2 linked regions of the Ovis aries genome follow. The protein of the gene in region 2 interacts with the protein of the main gene of each other region in a pairwise test. Links are inferred from orthologs where the notes say so. Each region holds a gene or a part of one and is shown on either strand. Other genes may lie near its edges.

Evidence for each region.
Region 1: the proteins of AGR2 (region 2) and FABP2 interact in binary tests that used the Homo sapiens proteins (3 or more experiments, as listed by UniProt). The two-hybrid records come from large-scale screens. The link is inferred for Ovis aries from reciprocal best matches to the Homo sapiens genes AGR2 and FABP2.

The regions. Positions count from the first base shown.
Region 1 is NC_056059.1:6,359,656-6,371,841, forward strand, and holds FABP2 (fatty acid-binding protein, intestinal), read left to right. Parts: upstream 1-5,322; 5' UTR 5,323-5,359; coding exon 5,360-5,426; intron 5,427-6,577; coding exon 6,578-6,750; intron 6,751-7,749; coding exon 7,750-7,857; intron 7,858-8,215; coding exon 8,216-8,266; 3' UTR 8,267-8,550; downstream 8,551-12,186. UniProt on the Homo sapiens protein: FABPs are thought to play a role in the intracellular transport of long-chain fatty acids and their acyl-CoA esters. FABP2 is probably involved in triglyceride-rich lipoprotein synthesis.
Region 2 is NC_056057.1:26,280,990-26,293,160, forward strand, and holds the start of AGR2 (anterior gradient protein 2 homolog), read right to left. Parts: upstream 6,479-12,171; 5' UTR 6,206-6,478; intron 3,519-6,205; 5' UTR 3,512-3,518; coding exon 3,373-3,511; intron 3,113-3,372; coding exon 3,049-3,112; intron 2,932-3,048; coding exon 2,879-2,931; intron 1,626-2,878; coding exon 1,552-1,625; intron 1-1,551. UniProt on the Homo sapiens protein: Required for MUC2 post-transcriptional synthesis and secretion. May play a role in the production of mucus by intestinal cells. Proto-oncogene that may play a role in cell migration, cell differentiation and cell growth. Promotes cell adhesion.

The sequences.
Region 1 (12,186 bases), on a different chromosome or scaffold from region 2:
TTCAAAAAGGGAGGAGTCCATGGTCTAGAATGCTGTAATGACATAAAATAAGGGCCAAGGCAAGTGTATTGGATTTGGCAGCAAAATAATTCATCAACGAGCTTAGTGAGTAGTTTCAGTGGAGCGGTGGATATGAAAGCTGCACTGCAGTAGACTGAGGCTCTAATAGATGGTAAGAATATGGAGACAGTACAGATCACTTTTTCAAGAAGACTGGCTATGAGGGGGAAGGAAAAAGCCAGAGCAGGTTATAGAAATGCCAACAGAATCCAGGGAGAGTTGTTTTCATTTCTTAAGATGAGAGAAACTGGATTATCATAATGTGAACAAGAAAAGATACCACCTCACCCAGATATAAAACGAAGACATACAGATAGAAAAAAAAAAATCTTTGCAGGTACCAAATTATTCTAATTTCAAGCCATGCTTTCTCTTGACTGAAACTGAAACTGTATGTGTTCATCATTCTATCTCGGTAATTTAGCCCAGCAACTAGGTCATAATGAGAATTCCAATATATGTTGAATGAATAGGTGGGTGAAGAATTTATAGAAGTAAATAAAGTAGTTACAGGTAATACTGAAAATGAGAACACATAAATTGAGAGAATTATGGCTTGCTGTTTTATTTTTCATTTGGGGGTATACAAAAGTCTTGCCAGGCAGGGTATGATTCCTCTGAAACTAGAGACCATCCATGTGTAATAGCACTTGGGACAGCAGAGGAAGTATTTTATTGGCAACATGTATTGATTGGATAGAGAATGCAAACAAACCAGGAGGGGGCTCCAAACTTTGGGGGAAATAGAGGAAATAACTGACTGAAGTTCTCGTCAAGCTAAGAACTGATGGTATGAGGAAAATGAAGAAGCCGAGCAGATGAAAATCTCTGAACACAGAGTGGCATGTTAAGTTTCACAGGAGGAAAATCTCTAGTAGTGACAAATCACAAGTTGTAGCCCTGGATGTAGTAGGATAAAGTGTAGTAAAGCTAAAGGTTATTAGAGATTAGGAGATTGAGGCACCGTGAGGCCAGAGTGACAAGTATCTTATCCACATGGACTTTGAGCTCACCCAAGATGATGGCAAGACACAGTGGGACAATAAGAAGATGGTGAGCCCAGTGCCAGGATTCTCCGTGATAGATGTTAGATAACAATGATAAACGGGGACAGACAGTAGATAATGATAGATGGATTAGATGGTAGATAATGATGATGAAGTAGGCCAGAAGCTGACAGCCAAATGGAAATGGTCTCAAAGGAAAAGATTTCCGTAAAGGAGAAGGAAATGGCAACCCCCTCCAGTATTCTTGCCTGGAAACGTCATGGACAGAGGAGCCTGACATGGGAGTCCCTGGGGTTACATGACTGAGCTCACAAGCATGAGGGCAGAGGGAGACTCGTTGGTAGCAATAAACCGGTAGAACTAAAAAAGAAAAAAAATGTCAGAAACGTAATGGGTGTGGGAATGGGGAGCGAGAATGCAAACCCATCTTCCTCTGACTGTGGTATGAGGGGCATAGGAAATGAGCAAACTCTCACTCAAACTGCTGGAGGGAGACTCATTATTTGGGTGAACAGACCCAGATTAAAAAAAGATAAGGCAGAGACTTCCCTGGTGGTCTAGGGGTTAAGACTTCATGCTCCCAATGCAGGGGGCCTGGGTTTGATCCCTCGTCAGGGAACTAGACCCCACACGCCACAACTAAAGACCCCGCAACTAAGACCCAGATACATAAATATCAAAAAAAAAAAAAAAAAAGGCAGAAGAGGCAGTCACAAATCCTTCACATAACATCATTCAACCAACACATGTGGATCCTATAAAATGGCTGCCTTGCTAACAAACACATGAAAAGATGCTCAACATCACTCATTACCAGAGAAATGCAAATCAAAACCACAATGAGGTACCATCTCATGCTGGTCAGAATGGCTGCTGTCAAAAAGTCTATAAACAATAAATGCTGGAGAGGGTGCAAAGAAAAAGGAACCCTCTTACACTGTTGGTGGGAATGCAAACTAGTACAGCCACTATGGAGAACAGTGTGGAGATTCCTTAAAAAACTGGAAATAGAACTGCCTTACAACCCAACAATCCCACTGCTGGGCATAACACTGAGGAAACAGGAACTGAAAGAGACACGTGTATCCCAGTGTTCATTGCAGCAATGTTTATAATAGCCAGGACAGGGAAGCAACCTAGATGTCCATCAGCAGACGAATGGATAAGAAAGCTGTGGTACATATTCACAATGGAATATTACTCAGCTATTAAAAAGAATGCATTTGAATCAGTTCTAATGAGGTGGATGAAATTGAAGTCTATTAAACAGAGTGAAGTAAGCCAGAAAGAAAAACACCAAAACAGTATACTAACGCATATATATGGAATTTAGAAAGATGGTAACGATGACCCTGTATGCAAGACAGCAAAAGAGACACAGATGTAAAAACCAGACTTTTGGACTCTGTGGGAGAGGGCGAGGGTGGGATGATCTGAGAGAATAGCATTGAAACATGTATATTATCATATGTGAAACAGATCACCAGCCCAGGTTTGATGCATGAAACAGAGTGCTCAGGGCTGGTGCACTGGGATGACCCAGAGGGATGGGATGGGGAAGGAGGTGGGTGGGGGGTTCAGGATGGGGAACACATGTAAACCCATGGCTGATTCATGTCAATGTATGGCAAAACCAATACAATATTATAAAGTAACTAACCTCCAATTAAAATTTTAAAAATGGCTGCCTGTTGTTAATGACAATTAGCAGGTTGCACTCACCATTATTTGGCAGATACATCCTTGTACACTGCTGTAACTTTATAGCCTTTTTTGGAAGAAAATCAGCCATCAGTCTCACACACAAAATCCTAAAACATAATTTAAAAGGTCTTAGTGTTTCTAAAATTTAGAGGCTTATGGTTAAAACAGAAGGAAGCAAACTCTGTAGGCAAACTTCAGAATTCTCCCTCATTCCCCATTCACTGCTAGGAACTGGACAGGTGCTTTAAGACTTTTCTGCTGCTCCTTACATCTGTCCCTCAAATCCTCTTACAGGGCCCTCAGAGAAACCACTACCTTTCTCTGACATGTAAAAGTTAAATAACTTGGCACTGAAAAGCAGGGTTCAGAAATTCTGAAAATGCTATTTCCCATAAGTGATATATATTTTAAAAAATAGAAAAACTTTCCCTTCAGCTTTACAACAGGCTAAAAGGGTTTCTGTGATCTCTAGAAAACCATTCTTTGTAAATGAGCTTGAAGCATCGTACTGTCCCTCATCATGCTATCACTCTCTGTACTTCATGATGATACAAATGAGGGTCAGGCATCAACTCCTTTTGTCTTTTATGAGCTACGCTGAGGCTCTTAGAAGGTCACTGCACTCGAAAGCCGTGGACTCACCTGACCCAGTCTCTGTGGCTCAGGACATGTTTCCTGGAGCACTCAGTGACCAAGCTGTGACCTGAAGCAACAGAAAGCAGGCACATTCACAAGACTGAGGACTGCAAGGAGTTCGATATATTAGATCTCAGAGTACACAGTAAGGAATGACAGGAGACCCAAGATATAAGAAGGGGCGTCGGAAACCACGGTAAGGAATGTGGTTTGTACTTTCTCTTGGAGGAATGGGACAGGGATGAACAGGAGCTTCTGCTGACTTCCACTACTTCCACACAACTCAGTGGCTGACGTGGACTGCGGAGTCCATACAGAGAGTACGACTCTCATATAGAGGGTACAACTCTACCTCTTCAGCATCAGTACCACCCGCCCCCGCCCCCACCAAGCACCTCTACCCCACCCACTTTCCCAAGCTGCAGAAGCAGGACCCTAAACCTTCTAGTATTATCAAAGAAGAAAATAAAGGACTGAGTCGGCCCTCAGCTGACTGCCCAACTGTATCATCAGTATGAGAGGTCTGTAAGGGAAACTGGCCACTGGTTCTGTATGACCTTTTCTAGATGGGGTCCAGGTAAGAGGTAAGAAGATACAGAGCTTGGAAGCTGCAGGGAAATGTATGATGTTAAAAATCCAATCTAATCATTTTTTCAAATGTCAGTGATTCCACGCTATAGAGAGAACAGGGATTTCTAACTGATTTTAAATTAGGTTACTGCTACTGATAAATGGAAGATGAAAGGTTAACATGGCCATTTGTTAGCAGGTCTGCATGGGTCCAAGTGCTATTTGCCCTCATCTAATCTTATTCTGCTCTTCCTGGGAAGCCCAAGGTAGCCATGAGATAAAGGGCAGTGTTAGGTGAACAATGGTAAGAAGCCATTCTAGGTGCTTCCTCCCCACCTTCTGGAGTCAGGCACTTGTATTTCAGTCACTGCGAGATCACAGAGAGGCAAGTTGTATTTCCAAAGGGAGCTAAAGCACTACTCTGATCTTAACAGGCAAATCCAAGTCCTATCTGGTCCCAAGTTAATCACTAGTACGTGTCAAAAACTACCTAAATAAACACACTTTAGGTGACTTTCTAATAGACAAAAGAAAATCAAGGATTTTCTTAACCAAATATCAAGGATTTTCTTAACCAAATACAGTGGTTTGAGTACTGGGAAAGTAAATACAGGAATGGTTTTAGTTAATGGCATAGCTGACATCTGGCTTTCGTTTTTTCTGCACATGGCAGATGTCTACAGATTCTTTCACTTATGGGAGTTTTCATGACATCCATCCATGTTTCTACCTCTTGAAATTTTTCTTAGTGGCCTGCCAGCATTTAAGACCAAAACAAAAATATAATCGGTCCCTATTGTGTGTCATGCACCGTACCAGGTGCCAGGATATTTACCCAAAGTCCTGGAAACCCAAAAACACACTGCAAAAGGACATATTAGAAAAATAAATAAAATTCCAGTCTCAATATCCTATTAACATAAACTTTTCAGCTGTATTTGGTCATGAAGTCTTACATTACTTACAAGGTAATTGCTGTTATAAAAAAGGGATAGGTCATTAATAGTCTCATTTTCCAAAACCTATTTGATATATGCTCTAAATTATGCTACATCCAACAAAGTGTGCACTTTGAACTTGCAAACAGAAAAACTATCTTCATACAGAATGCATTCTAACTCTTGAAATAATTGTACCTGTAAGTCATAGTTTGAGATAGAATACATAGGCTTATCATGTTTATTGCTGTTGAATTTCAGAAGGGGAGCTAAGAAATTTATAGAAACTAGAAGGTTTGGCATTAATGAAGTCAAGTGGCCTCTTGAACTTTAAACTTCCACATCACAATATGAAGCTGGTTCTAAGATAAGAAATAGAATAAATTCTCTCCTAAGGACGGACCTGAATCTCTGATTGCTCAGAAGCTGAGTTAACTGGAGACCATGGCGTTTGATGGTACTTGGAAGGTAGACAGAAATGAGAACTATGAAAAGTTCATGGAAAAAATGGGTAAGTGCTTAATACTTTAATAGCTTGTTCTTTTGTTTTTCACAGACATCTTTAACTCCTTCTAAACCTCAAGGCTTAGGCAATGGCACCTGTTGTGCTGGTGAGGATCAAGAATGCGTGCTGGTTCAGTGTAGGGAAAACCACACTCTCACTTCTTACATTAGAAAGAATACACTCTCACCAGTGGAAGAAAAGATTTTGGGGCACTGTTCTCTAAAACACAAAAAACATCCAGATATGTTTCATTTATGTCAACTGGTGACTGAAAATTGAATGGTTTTTTGTTTGTTTTCTGTTTGTTTAGAAAGTAAAATATGGCAGAGCATAATGATAACTTTCATACTTTAAAATATTAAATTCTAGGGGGTGGAAAAGCAAAGGCCATTTAATAAAGCAATGGAAACAAATGAGACTTAATTCTCTTGCTCTGGCTTGCAGAGCTTTTGGAATGCTCTCACGACAGCATGTAGTTCCTACAGAAGTTTTAATTTAACAGATTTGAATATCTATACCACTACTCTGGCAGCCCATACACTGAGCACTATGGGCAAAAAGATTGGTCATTCCCTAAAAATAAAAATCTGCATCAATTATATCCTGTAGTTTAGGAATTCCAAGTTCACATTTCTTATAATAATGAATTTCATGTAATATTTGCTAATTTTCTCATTTCTATGATAGAAATACCACAAAAAGCAAAGAGAATTATGAAATTCAAAATTTTAAAGCCATGGAAAGCAAAGGGACATTAAAAAAGAAAGTGTACCATACATGTGGAATTAAAGTAGTATAATCCTTATAAATATATAAATGTACTTTCTTAATCCTTCATTTGATATCCCTGGAATTTGATTTACTTAACACTGAAACAAAAATATTTATAATTTTTTAAAAAATTAGTTCTAAGATTCTACAATTCTATGCTTCATTTAATTTTTTTTCAGTTTTAGAAAAATAGTTTGATATGATTGAGCTTGTACTTTTTCTACAGAAGCAATCTGAATGCTCTTGTGCAAAGGCAATATGATCAGGTATTCCTCTTCACCCACAAAATATTAACTGGTTAATGAACTAGTTAAAACAGAACTTGGAAAAGTAGCACCTTCCATGGCATTTTGACTTTATTTCCTCCAATCTCTTTCCCTTTGCAGGTATTAATGTGGTGAAAAGGAAGCTTGCAGCTCATGATAATTTGAAACTGATAATTACCCAAGAAGGAAATAAATTCACAGTCAAAGAATCAAGCACTTTTCGAAGCATCGAAATTATTTTTGAGCTTGGTGTCACTTTTAACTACAGCCTCGCAGACGGAACTGAACTCAGTGTAAGAAATTTTTTATAAGCAAAGCATTCCTGATTTTTCTACATACTACAAAAATAATCTCTGTTTTCTTCCACTGGATCGCTTAATGAATGTAGGTCTCCTTCATTTACTGAAGCAGTCAGTGGAGTTTGTCCATATTAAACATCATACAAGTTAGCAGAGTATTTAAAAATGTTTTGATTTTCATACGTATCTATTAAAGAACCTGGATTAAGCAATTAGAAAAATATCCTTTGAATGACTGAGTATACACCTATTTCATAAAGAAAATTTCAGTGTTTTCAACATATCTGACAGCAATAAAAGCTTCTAGAGCTATCTAACTTAAATGTAATAGACATGGAATTGAAATGATAAAATAAATGAATAAATTAGAAGGTGTGACCAAATAGAAAGGTCCAAGGTCACAATGTAGGTCTCTGGGAATTCACTTTTTACTATTGAAGATAGAAAATTTTAAGATATAAAATGGGGTCACGTTTTTCAACTGGTTTTTAATAAAATGTTTCCACTTAGAACTTTTCTGGTTAAATTAAACATGTTTGCAATGACAATTAAGCTGCCAAAGATTTTATCAATTATGGCTGCATTTTAACTGTTAACCACAAATACATAAATTAAATCAAGCACAAGCTTGTTAACTTCTCTGTGAAACTAATATGAACCATGATTAAACTTAGAACACTCTTTTTAATGTGAATGACTTAGTAAAGAGAAGCCCCAATTATCTGCCTTACGATTCAGCACTTGGAAACTACAGAGCCAGATGGTTACCAGCATGTACTCTAGAGCCCCAGTAATCTAGGTGCAAGCTTGGCTTTGTGACTTTAATTACTGTATTTCAGTTTTTTCATCTGTGCAATGGAGAGAAACATATTTACTTCATAGGGTTACAGTGAAGTTTGAAGAAGTAGATCTGTAGGCCTCAGAACAGTGCCAGACACATCTAAGACCCTTAAAAATGTTTTATTATTATTATTATTTTGAAATCTTACACAGGGGGCGTGGGCCCTGGAGGGAGATAAACTTGTCGGAAAATTTAAACGGTTGGACAATGGAAATGAACTAAACACTGTCCGAGAAATTATAGGTGGCGAAATGGTCCAGGTGAGTTATTTTCCGAAGACAAAAATAATTACATAGCAATGATTTTTATCTGGGGGGTTGCTGAGTTAAATCATCAACAAACAGACTATTACTTTTCTCATAAATATTACTGAGTTTTATAGGTATTTTCTGATGCCTATTTGAAGAGAACTTATGTACGTCAACACATTGAGCCTATTTTAACCGAAAATGTGACTACAAACCAAAACATATTTTTAAATGAATGTCTCCTCTATCTGTATAAAATGTGGCTATCAAGAAAAAAAATGCATTCTGAAGCTAAACTCTACTAATATTTTTCTTAATTGAGCCTCTAATCTTAATGTCAAATTCTTCTTCGTTTGTGAACACCTTTCAGACTTACACATATGAAGGTGTGGAGGCCAAGAGGATTTTCAAAAAGGAATGAGCACTGTTCCTGGAGCACCGCCCAGAACACAGATTAGACGGAAAATCTGTACTGAACCAGAAATGCTTTCCTCTCCTCATCTGGTATAAAGTTGCTGATTGACTAGATCTTTTATAAGCATTGGTGAATGGCTTATATCTCCAGTCTCACCAAAGAAAAACATGTAAAAGCTAATTAGGATTTAACTTGTCTTAAATTTTCTAAGATGTATTTACTGGTGTTCTAAAAGAATGTGACATTTTAAAAAACATATGAATAAACATTGTTCCCACATTGCTTTAAAAGTAGTCTCTCTTAAAAAAAAGACATATGCATTAATAGACTGTTTTGGGTTTTTCCCCACATTTGGTAAATTAAAGACATATACTGCATGGGGGTCTTTATAATCTTGTACTGGTAAATATTTCCCTTAGCAACATTTATTATAAAAATAATACATATTTAACCAGAAAGTTTAGAACTAAGGAAAACAAATGCAAAATAAATATTTCCATAACCCATAAGCCAGAGAAAATCACTATTCTGATTTTAATAGAGATCCTCCATCTTCTCCTCTGGCTGCGGATTTGTGTATTTCTCCATACATACATACCATTCTGAACAAAACGACAGGAAACAAATGATGTGCTAAGGTAAAGTGCATTTTATTTTTCTGCATTGCCAGTGATTCCCAGACCTGGGTAAGCAGCATGATCATCTGAGAAACTTAAGAACTGTTTGCATGCTTAATCTCTACCATTATCCTATTAGGTCAGAATCTCTGAAAACAGAACCAGGGATTTTAGAGAACTCCCAAGTGGTTCTGATGCAGCAGGTACACTAAGCAGTCTTTGAGAACAAGTGGGCTATCAGGCACCAAAAATGTCATCTTCAAATGTCACCCCTCCCCTTTTATTCATAAACACATACACTGACAGTTTTTTAGGTTCCCAAAAGTTTTCTTTCACTCATATACTCACATAATATACTACTTTATGTATTTCAACCAATTCCATTTTAGGTCGGTATGCATACAGGGGACAGAGGTGGTAAAGTTTTTAAGCATTTGGCTCTATGGACTTTCGTTTTGACTATTTTTCACATTGATGAAGGTAATAGCTAACATTTATATAGTTCTTACCAAGTTCCAGGTACTGTTCTAAGCTGTATATAAACATGGCACATACATTACAATGTAGAAAGAAAAATGTTTGTGTACATGTTGAAGATGAACAGATTAAAGAATATAATCTTTTACAAAAACAGGAACTTAAATCCACTGTTCATTTTATAACTTTATTAAAATCTTCACATTGAAAACAGTAACTACTTAGATTTTTCACACTTTCTAGAAATAAAGGTTCAAAGTGCTTCTACCTCTAGGATCTTGTCTACATATGTGAAGTAGGAAAAGGGCAGGAATTAATTTCATCTGACAGTGGAAAATCTATAGTATAGAGAAGTTTATTCGCTTGTCTAATGTTGCAGAGAGTCCATAAGGAACACAGGAATTAAATGTAGGTCTTGACTCTTAGTACATTATCATCTATGCTATTACTCAGCCTACTATAAAGAAATATATCTTTTAAAAAAACACACAAAAAACCCTTAATTCTTTCGTGGCACCCAAGAACAGCACTCCAAAGGAGTCAGGGCAGACTGTAAAACAATGGCAATTAAGTGGTTAGGCACTTATCTATTTCTAGCCTTATTGCAGGCTCACTTTTTTTTGTTAATAATTTACATCCTTTCTTAGCACTAAATCTCCACTATTTATTAGTACTGGAGAGCAGCGTATTGTTTGCTAAGTGACTGCCATTGTTATAACCTCTCTCTGGGAAACTGACCTTGAAACTGACCTTTCAGTGCCAACTGAAAGGACCTAGAGAGGGCGTCTGACCCAACAGCAACAACTCTAACACAGTCTGGCCAGTTTATGAACTCGCAGAACGAACAACAAACTGAACCTAGAATGAATTTCAGAGATACACGATAATTGGTAGAAGGAAAAAGGTTTCAAGAGGACAGAGAGGGCAGACAGTAAGTAAAAACCATGAGTACAGAAGCTATGAGCAAGCAAGAGCCGCAGGGTAAACTACAGAATACCCTGAGGAGCAGTTATTACAGGAGCAGCTGGGTGGTAAAAGCTGAACATTTACAAATGGAATATGGCATTTGGGGTTCCCTTCAAACTGCTTCCTCCCCAATCTAGGATAGGGGAGGTAGTGGAGAGTAGTATAGCAGAAATGAGGTTGGTCACAAGTTGACAATTGTTGCAGCTGTTTAAAACAATCCCCTTATTACCTACCTATCTGACATGCTGACGCCTGACAGGTCCATTGTATACCTAGTAGGAAAATTAAACTTATCTCCCTACCTCTGTATGTGTTTGACATTTTCCATAACAAAACGTTAAAAACTTTAACACATACCTATATAAATCCAGACGCCAACCACTTCCCATCACTTCCACTGCTATCATCTTGGTCACCACTAATTTTTCCCTTGATTACTGTCACTGACTCTTTGCGACCCCATGAATTGCAGCATGCCAGGCCTCTCTGTCCATCACCAACTCCCGGAGTTCACTCAGACTCACATCCATCAAGTCAGTGATGCCATTCAGCCATCTCATCCTCTGTCGTCCCCTTCTCCTCCTGCCCCCAATCCCTCCCAGCATCAAAGTCTTTTCCAAGGAGTCAACTCTTCGCATGAGGTGGCCAAAGTACTGGAGTTTCAGCTTTAGCATCATTCCTTCCAAAGAAATCCCAGGGCTGATCTCCTTCAGAATGGACTGGTTGGATCTCCTTGCAGTCCAAGGGACTCTCAAGAGTCTTCTCTAACACCACAGTTCAAAAGCATTGATTCTTCGGCGCTCAGCCTTCTTCACAGTCCAACTCTCACATCCATACATGACTACTGGAAAACCATAGCCTTGACTAGACGGATGTTAGTCAGGAAAGTAATGTCTCTGCTTTTGAATATGCTATCTAGGTTAGTCATAACTTTTCTTCCAAAGAGTAAGCGTCTTTTAATTTAATGGCTGCAGTCAACATCTGCAGTGATTTTGGAGCCCAGAAAAATTAAGTCTCACACTGTCTCCACTGTTTCCCATCTATTTCCCATGAAGTGATGGGACCGGATGCCATGATCTTCATTTTCTGAATGTTGAGCTTTAAGGCAACTTTTTCACTCTCCTCTTTCACTTGCATCAAGAGGCTTTTTAGCTCCTCTTCACTTTCTGCCATAAGGGTGGTGTCATCTGCATATCTGAGGTTTTGATACTTCTCCCGTCAATCTTGATTCCAGCTTGTGTTTCTTCCAGCCCAGTGTTTCTCATGATGTACTCCGCATATAAGTTAAATAAGCAGGGTGACAATATACAGCCTTGATGTACTCCTTTTCCTATCTGGAACCAGTCTGTTGTTCCATGTCCAGTTCTAACTGTTGCTTCCTGGCCTGCATACAGATTTCTCAAGAGGCAGGTCAGGTGGTCTGGTATTCCCATCTCCTTCAGAATTTTCCACAGTTTATTTTGATCCATACAGTCAAAGGCTTTGGCATAGTCAATAAAGCAGAAATAGATGTTTTCTGGAACTCTCTTGCTTTTTCCATGATCCAGTGGATGTTGGCAATTAGATCTCTGTTTCCTCTACGTTTTCTAAAAACAGCTTGAACATCAGGAAGTTCATGGTTCACGTATTGCTGAAGCCTGGCTTGGAGAATTTTGAGCATTACTTTACTACCGTGTGAGATGAGTGCAGTTGTGCGGTAGTTTGAGCATTCTTTGGCATTGCCTTTCTTTGGGATTGGAATGAAAACACTTTTTCCAGTCCTGTGGCCACTGCTGAGTTTTCCAAATTTGCTGGCATATTGAGTGCAGCACTTTCACAGCATCATCTTTCAGGATTTAAAATAGCTCAACTGGAATTCCATCACCT
Region 2 (12,171 bases):
CATGGACAGAGGAGCCTGGTGGGCTACAGTCTGTGAGGTCGCAGAGAGTTGGACTGAGTGACTGAACACACACACAAAGGCTAGGGATGCTGAAGCTGTGGCGAGAGATGATGCTAGAAAGCTACTCCGGGGGCGGCTCGTGAGTGGCCTCGCACTCCTCACCACAGTGTTCAGATTTGCCCGTAAATGGAGAACCGCTGGAGGGATGTTAGAAGAGCCGTGATCCTGATTCGGTTTTTAGAGTAAATACCCTGACAATCATGTGGAATCAGACAGGATTTACTTTGCAGTCAGAGAGCCAGTTACTGTAAGCTAGTAAAGTGAAAAACTCCTACACTAAAACAGCGGTCCTGGATTTACAGGGAAGTGACCAATAGTAAGACTGTTTCCAAGTCAGAACCAAAGGCCTTCATGACTGCCAGAGAGTCAAGTCTAGAATAACACTCTAATGGAATAGGGAATGGAGAAGAAAGAGCTTTGTGAAAAACCTGTTATGTTGATAAATTCAGTGTTGAACATATCAAGTTAAAGCTGATTGCAAGATTTCTGAAATTTGGTTGTGGACACAGATTGGAAGCTGTTGTGTATTCGAGGAAGACGGGGGGAATTACCAGTGAGCAGGTCTGGATGAAATTGTCCATAGAGAATATAAAATATGGAAAGAGAAATAGGTCGAATAGAGATCAGGAACTCACTTATATTAAGGGGATAAATGGAGAAAGAGGAGCCTGTGGAAGGAGGTGAAGAAGAATGGCTGGTATGGATGCTCCTTGAAGAAGCTCACCTGTCAACCCAGAAAGAGGAGAGAGAGAGAGAAGTCCCGGGTGACGAAAGAGTCTTCTGAGTTGTTTACTGATCGCTTGCCTTTGAAACAGAAGTGGATCCTGTTTCTACACCGAGTAGAACTTATAAAAACAGAAAGCTTTACCATGAAGAGAGGTGGTGATGGCCAATTAGGATAGGGAAGCATTGGCCCACAGCATTCGTGAAGTGATTAGATTTGGCCACCCAGAAAGCTGTCTCTTCCAGAGAGAAGAGAGGGCACATGGAGGGGTGGAGAGCAGCCAGGGCTGCAGGGGAAAGGGGCACAGCAAGGAATTGGTAAATGACAAAGACTTCCCGCTTATTACAGCAACCAAGAAATCCCGGACCACAGGAGAGTGTTATTCAGACAGTTTAAAATTATTAGTCACTAAACAAAATCCCTGAGTTGGAAGATTGCCTAGAGAAGGAAATGGCAACTACTCCAGTATTCTTATCTGGGATATTCCACGGACAGAGGGGCCTAGCAGGCTACAGTCCATGGGGTTGCAGAGTCGGATACAACTGAGCAACTGGGCATGGATGTGATCACATATATACACACACACGTAAACAAAAATGTAGACACGCAAGACAGATGCAAAATAAAATCTTTTCTCTCTGTAGTCTATGAGATGTATTCAGAACAGATCCCCCCGTTAAAGTAGTATGATTAAGACATAGAGAAAGAAGGAACCATCCATTTCAAATACTGAGAGAAATGGTAGTGAGGATGAAGAGCTAACTTACAACTAGATTGAGGAGGACAAACTGGTCTGCCAATTTCTGGATTTCTTTATTTTCAGCAAATGCCTTCTTTAAAGCTGTAATGCAAAGAAAAATAGTGAAGCATTCATCTCATCACCAGGTGAAACCATTGTTCTCTGTTAGATTTTAAACTGAACTGTATTTTTAATACAGTATTGAACCACACCCTTTCTGCAAATGGTTAACAAAGAAATATCTAGACCATTGACCAGCTTTGTTTCTCCTGCTCAGTCAGTCAATCATTCATCTCTTAATTTTTTTTTAACCCGTGTTTACTGAGTGGTTACTATGTGGCAAGACTGTTTCATGTACTGGGAATAAAGCAGTGGGAAAAAAATAAAATGTGCTTTCTTCATAGGACTGAAATGCTTGTGTAGGAGACAGATCATAAACAAGCAAGTAGTTTTAGGTGGAGATAAGCACTTTGAAGAAAAAGAAAGCAAAGCAAGAAGTTTGAAAGTATAGAATGTTCAGGGAAGAGTTCTTTGAGGAAATGACATTGAAGTGAGAGGCTGATATGTTCAAAGATATTAGGGATGCATCCTAGGGTAGCCAGGTAGGTGCCTGTCACAGAGCTAGGCAAGATCTCATCTAGGTGTGGACCAGGGCAGTAGCAGTGAGGTAGTAGGAAGTGGCTGCATTTGGGCAGCAGCTATGTAATATATGAGGCCCAGTGCCTGTCTCAGAGGTAAAGAATCCACCTGCAATGCAGGAGACTGGGTTTGATCCCTGGGTTGGAAAGATCCCCCTGAAGAAGGAAATGGCAACCCACTCCAGTATTCTTGCCTGGGAAATCCCACGGACAAAGGAGCCTGGCGGGCTACAGTCCATCGGGTCACAAGAGTCAGACAGCAACTAAACCATCATCACCAGTGCCAAATGAAAATATGGAGCCCTTTGTTCAAAAATTACTATGACTTTTAAGATGGCAACAGCTGATCTTTACAGCAAGCATAGGAGCCTTCGAAGCGCTGTGTCCTGTGTGATTGCACAGATGGTGTGCACAGGAGGCTGGTGCTGGCCTTTGGACATACTGTGAGGGTAAATCTTTGGTATTTGTTGATGTATTGAATGTGGGATAAAAGACAAAGCAAGAAGTCAGGGATGAATTCTAGAGCTGGTATTTTCAAACTGTGAGCCAATGGTTAACACAAAACGTGGAAATATTTGAAGTTACTGTGTTTACTACATAAAATATTCTTTTTAATTCAACTGTGCTGGGTGCTAAGGGTATAAAGATGAGAGATCTGGACCCTCCCTCTAAAGCTATAAACCTATAAAAGAAATTATATTTAGAAGTATAAATTACCTTGACTGTGTGGGCATTCATCCAAGTGGTGAATAATCATCAAGGGTTTATTGCTTCAAGAGACAAAGAGAGATAGGATCATGTTTAATGAGTAGGATTTTGTGTGTCACTAAAGATCGCTAGATGGCTCTCTTGAGAGCTTTGAGAGAGTTCCCTAAACTTGTCTTTACCTTGTCTTGGATTTGTATAAAGCTTCTTCATATGTCTGGGTCCAGATGAGTTGGTCTCCCCAACCTAGAACAAAAAAACCCAGTGTATCTAAAACTGTTATGTTTTCAGACCCAGAGCTGTTGATAAACAGTTGTAAAACTGGGATCATTATATACTTGATACTAAAGAAGAGCAAAAACCTCTAGAGAAAACAGAAATAATGGTAAACTTTGATAAATGTAGAAAGAACACATACAAAAATTTGTTCACACAGATCTCAGGCCTGAGAGTTAAATCCTTCCCAATTAAGTATAATTGGAGGCCAGCGGGAGTGTGACTCCTACCTCTGGAGAGGGTCTGGGGCAGTTTGAGTTGAGAGTCCTTTGTATCCTTCTTAGCTCCTGGTTTGACTGTGGTTTCTTTGGCCAGAGTGTAGGAGAGGGCCACCAGCAGCAGGAATGCTGACACTGGAATCTTCTCCATGGCAAATCTGATATGGAAAACAAGTAAATTAGCAAGAAGCCAGTAAAACAAAAAGAAACTGGCAATTTTTCAAAGTCTTTAGATTGCAACCCAAGCGTGGGACACAACAAGAATTGAGGCTTAGATGGGATTGAGCACATGCAATTGGAGTGAAAAAATACCTTCCACAGAACTTTCCTAAGAATGCATAGTATAAATTTCTATCTATCCACCTCTATATAAGATCTGTATAGAAAAAAAAAATATACTGATGAAGATCTCCATAGAAATATACAATGTAGAAATAGATACAGATATGTTTTAAGAAAATTAGGAGATAGATGTATATATTCTTATAGTTAAGGGAATTTGCTTTTAAATTTTATATTTTTCATAAAAAACATCATAGTAGAAGACAACTTAGGAGTTATATCCTCTTTCCCCACCTCCCCAGTGTCTCATTTTGTAGATGAAGAATCTGAAATTCAGAGAAATGAAGACCAATGAGAGGGGCATAGAACCAAGGCTTTTGGATCTTGCCACTTTGCACTGCTGGCTCCCATCTTCCCATTTGGAAAAAGTTGCCCTAAACATACATATTTCTTTAATATTTGTTAAAATGGGGACACTGCCATTGAAAAATAAGATCTGAGTGAAATGATTTATTTCATTTAGAAACTGCCAACTTTTTATCTTTTAACTAAAGGCTTGCATACACACAGCTCTCTCCCTAGTGTAACATTTACTCAAACTCTAGATATATTGGTTCTGAACTGGTTAAAATACATCAGTGGAAATTTCTTCCAGTGAGCTAATTCTTTGACACTTAGTGTGGGCCTGTATAGGTAGGTGGTTGTGCACAAAATATTTCTATTTTATCCCATAAAATATTCTATGGGACTCATCACACAGAGAGACCAATCTCGTAAATGTCTCTTTGTTAATTTTTCTTTTCTTTCCAGTATTCCAAATTTAAATATCAGGAAATGTTGTACTATTTCAAAGCAGATACTTTTGAATGGGAAAGAGAATAGCAAGGTAAGGTCCATGAGTGAGTGAGGAAGTAAGTGAGCTAGCAAGGTGAATTGCACTAACGAATCACTAGGGCTGTCCAGGGACCATGACGTGCAAAGCTGGAGACTTGGGATGCTAGTAAAGCCGAAGACTGAAACTGGTTAAAAAGAAACACCTAACTCTAATATTGGTGTGTTTCAAATTAAATGAACTCTGCAAGAGAAACAGGATGGACCACCAATGTTCAGTGTTTTTAAGGGGTAAACTTTCTCATATTCTGATAGCAGGTTAAGCATTGTTGTTTAGTCGTGATGTCATGTCCCACTCTTTTGAGACGCCTTGGGCGATAGCCTGCCAGGCTCCTCTGACCGTGGAATTTCCCAGGCAAGAATACTGGAATGAGTGGCCATTTCCTTCTCCAGGGGATCTTCCCAACCCAGGGACTGAACCCACATCTCCTGCATTGACAGGTGGATTCTTTACCATTGAGCCACCTGGGGAAGCCTTTGTTAAGCATTAGCCAATTAAAAAAAAAAAAGGCATTGCTAAGTTACCAAATCCAGATGATGTCTTATATTAATCTGACCAATTATTGTCTATGTCATAGTATGTAGTAGCCACGCAATGTCTCACAAAAAAGATGTAAGCAAAAACAGGGATACACTGTCTTCATTTTCTATATCCATAAAGATACAGAAACGCCAGTAACAATTTTTGTATCCAGTATTTTGCACAAGCACCCCAACTGTGCTACACAAGTCTTCTAGCCTTTTTGTTACAAAGACTTCTTCTTCATGCCAACAACACTAAAAACCAAGAACCCTTATGTGAGAATAATTACACTATTCAGGATAATGGTTGATTCAGAAAATATCATGCAAGTAATGGCTTGAAATTTATCGACAAACGTTTGATTTTATATTTTATGTATGGCAACAAATGTATATTAGCAAAAATAGCAGTAAACAGGTGGTGAAGTATTTATGTAATTCACTGACAATTCTTGTGCAAGTGGCCATTAGGACCTCTTTTTATAGCTTTGCAGCTTTCAGATTGGAACTATTGATACCTCATACATGTTTTATGGCAGAACGACTCAAGGGAGCCGAATATAACTCCTGCTGTACAAACAAGATTTTCTGAGATTCACTGTACTGTTTTCAACACATCAATTTTTAGTCCTGAATTGACTGTGATCTGCAAATTGCATGCATAAACCACCTCAAAACAGAAAGCTAACCATGGAGGACACTGATAATTTGGAGACACACACACACACTATGAAACCAGCACTTTTCACTGCTCACTATATCTCTGTCTTCATCAACGAATGCCTTGCAGGAGGTTTCAATGTCCTTGTTCATAAATGCTTTAGGAAAGTAACCAGATCTCTCCTTTTGCATTCTGCGCTATGAATTTAAAGACTGAATAAGCAATAAGGATATCTTTATATCAGACACAGAAGGAAAGCTATTTCCTGATTTGCAATAATATTCTGATCGGTAATCCCCAGCAGCTTATCTGAGCTGACGTTTCACAGCCCTGTGGGTCTTTGCTTTGCCAGTAAGAAAGAAACAAGCATTAGATGGTGATCAGGGCTCAGTAACCAAGACAGGAGACCCTGGGCTGTGTGTCAGGCTTGAAAACTCCAGGAGTTGGCTCGCTCTTAAACCTCTCATTTTCTGGGAGAGAAACCATTACCTTGAATCAGCTCAGGAACATCGCTTCACAGAGAGGTTCTAGGAAGCCTCTGGTGAAAATTCCATCAATTCCCTCTCCAAATCCCATTTTGCTGCTCCTGGAACTGCCCCGCACTCCTCTGCCTGTGGATTGCCTACACCTTTACATGGTAACCAGAGGCCAAAGCTCATTCTAACAGGTGCCCGTCTAACAATACTGTCAGGAGCCTTACCTGGATCTCCCCACCCACCTGTCTGTGTGAGCCAGGCGGCCTCGATGCAGTCCAAGCTTCCTAGTATGCTGGCTCAGCCCACGCCTCTATTTATGCACCTGAGCACACCTCAATCCCACCCACTAATCCTGTATTCACATGGTGCAGACTCTGAAAGGAACTTTTCTTTCTCCAGGTCTTCCCGGGGCTAAAGAGTTCCCTGTTTTTAAAAAATAATGTTGCAGAGGGAGTCCCTTTCAGTATGCGTGCCTTTAACTCTTTGTGAAAGCATATTGTTAAGAGATTTGAGAAAGGTGGGCAGAGTGCCAAATCCAGGTACAGTTTAAATGAAGACATTTGATTTGCCTGAAGGCTGATTTGTCTTTATGTGATTGGATGGAATTTGTGGTTTGTAGAAATTTTTTTTTTTTTTCTCTCTCTCTCGGGCAGATTGCCTCTATTTAGTTAGAAACACACAAGAGATGATTCACTGTTCTAACCCCTACACTCATATAAGCTGCTGTCCTCCATTATGGTATAAATTATTTCACACAATGTACTTCCTTTTCTTGGCAAACAAAATGTGTATTCACTGTAGGTACGAAAGTAATCCAAACCAAGAATTCCTATAATATATTAAAACTAAGGAAGTTATTGAAAAAAAGATATCCTAACACTATGAGTTTTTATTAATCACCTTGCAGGAACTCCTCTCCAAAGAATTCAAAGGTATTTCACAGATATTCTCTCATTCAATGGCAAACTTTACTGCTAAACATAGCAGGAAGCTATTTCCATCATTTTTCACACCTATAAACTAAGATGTGCAACTACTTTCTCATTTAAATTTATGCAATAGTTCATTCAACATTTTAAGACTGGACTTGGGTTTTCTGTAAAAAATTTTAATCCTGTGAAAACTATGTGTAATCCTTAAAAGTTCAGAACAGAAAAATCTTTAACAACAGAAAGTTAGCTAATGATATGCAAACCCTATAAAAATAAAATTTGAAGTGAGTTGAGATCATACTATTTCAAAATATTTTCAAGCAGGTGAATTTTTTGATAAAGCCTGAGTTTCTGTGGGCAAAATAGGAAGGGATTTCAAAAATGGTGAGTTTTCATTTGAAATGAATTCACAGAAATAATCTCTTTAGGAATTTGAATAAAAATAATGATTTGAGCTCAACTTTGAAAAGCAGTAAGCCTTTTATATGGGCTTCCCAGGTGGCTCAGTGGAAGAGAATCTGCCTGCCAATGTAGGAGACACGGGTTCGACCCCTGGGTCAGGAAGATCCCCTGAAGGAGGAAATGGCAGCCCACTCTAGTGTTCTTGCCTGAAAAATCCCATGGAAGAGGAGCCTGGCAGGCTACAGTCCACGGGGTTGCAAAGAGTTGGACACACTTGAGCACCCACTTCACCAAATATTCTTGAAGCCTGATTATGTAGCAAACACTATGCCTGACATTAAAGATAGGAAAATGAAAAAGACATGGTCAGTTATTGAGGTAGACAAATACATCCATGGACAGTTGCAATTCAGGATGGTAAGCCATACCCATGGGGAAACAAAGACATTGAATACATTATCTCTGCTGTAAGGTTATTAATGATCTGATTGAAGAGTTAAGATTGACCCACACTAAAAATTAATCATCTGCATGAGAAGAGCATGCCATAATGGATGGGTAAAAGACCTTGATGCTGGGAAAGACTGAGGGCAAGAGGAGTAGGGGTTGACAGAGGAGGAGATGGTTGGATGGCATCACCGACTCAATGGACGTGAGTTTGAGCAATTCCAGGAGATGGTGAGGGACAGGGAAACCTAGCATGCTGCAGTCCATGGGGGTCACAAAGAGTCCAACACGAGAAGTGATGAACAACAAGTGGTATAGGTATCAGCTGTTATTATTTTTCAGAGGAAATAGAGATTGCTAGTCATGAAAATGCTCGGACTAATGCTAGACAGCAAGGTTTCCAGGTGCAGACAGTGATAAAGAATTTCCAGAATATGTTTGTTGGATATTTAGTGGAACCACCCCTGGCTAGAGTCAGATACATCTGGGAAACTCATAAACAATAGGTTTGAAAAGTTGTTTGGGGGCTATTTGATTTACCCGGGACCTTGAATACTGTTTTAAGGAGCTTAGACTTCATCCTCAAGAGGAAGTGTCCTGCGATGGTGAAGGGGGCATTTTATAGATTCACCTTTGGTTTGAGTTCAAATTTAGTGTGATGATTACTACGTATACTTCTAACTCCTGCAAATTACCTAACCTCTCTGTACTTGAGTCGTCTTCCTTGTGAAGTGGAAACAGTAAGACTCACTTTATAGGATCTGTGGAAGGTTATATAAAATAATTGAGAAAAAATATTTAGAATGGTACATAGCACATAGTAAGCACTGGAATATACTATCGATGGTACAGAACTTGCTTCTCTATGAAAGTCACTTAGCTGTATGGGGGCTTCTGCGTACAAATACAATCGTTTCCCATTTCTTGGGATGGACAGGGAGGCCTGGCGTGCTGCAATTCATGGGGTTGCAAAGAGTCAGACACAACTGAGCGATTGAACTGAACTGAACTGATACTCTATTAAAAGTAAAATGTAAACACCTAGTTCTTCCTAGATCTAAAACTTTAAAAATGTACAAATTTTGTTTATTTGTATAAAGTATACAAAAATAATTTGGTTTTGATTAGAGAAGTTTTGCTGGAGAAGGAAATGGTGGCCCACTCCAGTATTCTTGCCTGGAGAATCAGGCAAGGTTCCTGCCAGAGGAACCTGGCAGGCTATAGTCCATGGGGTTACAAAGAGTCGAACACGACTGAAGCGACTCAGCACAGAGAAGTTTGGCATAAAATTCAAAATCTATTTTAATTTTTTTTATTATAGTAAGAAAAAAAATCACATGAAATATAGCTATCCTCTTAACCAATGAAGTGTACAAGATGATATTTTAAACTATAAGCATAATGCTGTAATCAGATATCTAGAACTGGTTTCTTTTTTAAAAAAATTTTATTTGTTTAATCTGCTCTCGGTCCTTGTTGCTCTGAGAGGGCTTTCTCTAGTTGCGGTGAGCAGGGGTTATTCTTTGTTGCAGTGTGTGGGGTTCTCACTGCCCCGGCCTCTCTTGATGTAGAGCACACGCTCTGGGGCGTGCTTGCCAGCTCAGTGGTTGCGGCTTCTGGGCTCCAGGGCACAGCCTCAGGAGTTGTGGTGAACAGGCTTAGTTGTTCATGTGGCACGTGAAAGCGTCTGGGACGAGGGATGGAACCTGGGTCCCCTGCATTGGCAGGCCGATTCTTATCTACTGCACCACCAGGGAAGTCCTAGAATTTGTTTCTTGCTATTTGAGTAAAATAAGTATCATCAAATTAAACTGACCTAAATCAGATAGATTACATTTCAAAATGTTCAACAGGGTACATTTGCCAACATAATGACCCAAACTTTTCTAAGCACTTTAGCAGTTCTTGTAAATATCACAAATTAAAGTTACTGATTAGCAATTCAGGTTATATTAATCTTATAAATATTTTTCACAGCCAAATACATTATAATTCTAAATTAAAAATCCTAATTCTAGTCACATTCTTAATTAGAGTCACAGACCAATATTCAGCTTCTCTAAAAGAGGTTTCTGTTATATTATACAAGCACTTCACTAACAAACACATAAAGGTTTTTCCACTATTTTCAAAACTTATTCTTCAGCTTCACCTGGAAGTCTTAATACTACAGATTTGAGTTACTTCATTGGTTACTTCATCAATAGAAACTTTTTTTCTATTCCTTCTAGGGACTAGTGAAGAGAAAGCAGATTTACCTCTAGGTTGGACCTATTTCCTGAGTCTAGAATTAGGGACTCTGATATGGATCAAAGACTGTGACCCAATCACTGATATATTTGATGTTATAGATACAATTAGATGTATCTCAAGGGAAAGTGTAGAGAGGAAGACTCATTACCAAACCTTGATAATTTTTATCCATTTAGGAGGATGAGGAAAAGAAGTGCTTCTAAAGCACAAGAAATAATCTCTTTGTACAAAGACATACATTTCCAGGACCACACCATTTCCTGAATCCAGGGTTAGTAGTAACTGCAGAGCACAAAACAGCAACCAGCGTTGAATGCAGGTGGTAGGGCTTAGAACTGGAGAAGAGAGGCAGTTGAATGATTTCCAGAGCTCTCTGACATCTAGCCAAGACACTTGTATAATACACTTGATTGTATAAAAATCAATTGCCTTCAATCAAAATTCATGAATGTCACTTGGGTTGAAGTAATGAAAAGCCAAATTACCTGGTGCAGCGATGTATTACTTTCTTGGGTCATGAGTAAAGTGACTATATTCTCAGTTTGCCCAGAAAATTCTCAGGTTAAGCCTGTTGTTGAGCATATTAACTGAGAACATCCCCCTTTACTTTAAAAAGTCTGGTGATTCGGGCAATAAACTACATAGTCTAGGTAGATGAAATCTACCAATGTTCTCTGTAGGAAAATAATTGCTTATACACATATAATTTTAGGTGGCTTAGATAGTAAAGAATCTGCCTACAATGCGAGAGACCTGGGTTGGGAAGATCCGCTGGAGAAGGGAATGACAACCCACTTAGTATCCTTGCTTGGAGAATCACATGGACAGAGGAGCTTGGCGGCTCACAGTCCATGGGATCTCAAAGAGTTTGGACATGACTGAGTGACTGACAGAGGTCTCATTCATATACTGAACTTAATCAGAAGACCCCTTTGTGGGACCCATAGACTAAGGTTAAAAACAATATTGCTCGAATGTTCAAGCTTCTAAGTGTAGCTGTTTCAAGGACCCACAACTTTAGAATTTAGCATTTAGCTCTCTGCCCTTGTTTTATAGCACCACCTTGTATTTCTTCCTGTCAGAAATGTTATACCATGGCCTAAGTTGGAAAGAATGCTAGTCTCAGAGTCATTCAAGTCTTTTGCTGGCCTTGAATAAAGGCCCACAGTCAGAAATCCTTTTAGATCTGCGTGGAAGTGGAGCTTAGAGGGAAGGGGGAACGAAAAGTAATTTATGGGGATTCCCTGGTAGCCCAGTGGTTAGGAGTTGGTGCTTTCACTGCCGGAGCCCAGGTTTAATCCCCAGTTGGAAAAGGCAATGGCACCCCTCCCCAGTACTCTTGCCCTGAAAATCCCATGGATGGAGGAGCCTGGTGGGCTATAGTCCATGGGGTTGCTAAGAGTTGGACATGACTAAGCGACTTCACTTTCACTTTTCACTTTCATGCATTGGAGAAGGAAATGGCAACCCACTCTAGTGTTCTTGCCTGGAGAATCCCAGGGACGGCGGAGCCTGGTGGGCTGCCATCTATGCGGTTGCACAGAGTCAGACACGACTGAAGTGACTTAGTAGTCGTAGTAGTAGGGGAATTAAGATCATGCAAGCCTAGAGGCAGGAGGTTAAAAAAACGAGAGAGAATTTGGGTATGAAAATGAGAATAAAGAACATAAGAATTATACAAAAAGTAATTTATAACATATGAACATCCAAAGTAGATAAATTATTTCCCCATGAACTCTATCTTTTAGAAGATGGGTATTTTTAAAAAAGTTTTGCCTATTTATTGAGTGTGCTGGGTTTTCGTGGCCATGTGGGCTTTTCTCTTGTTGCACAGAGTGGGCTGACTCTCTAGTACATGGGCCTTATGTGGTGGCTTCTGTTCTATGGAACACAGGCTCTAGGGCACAGGCTCAGAAGTTGCAGTGCACAGACTTAGTTGCTCTGT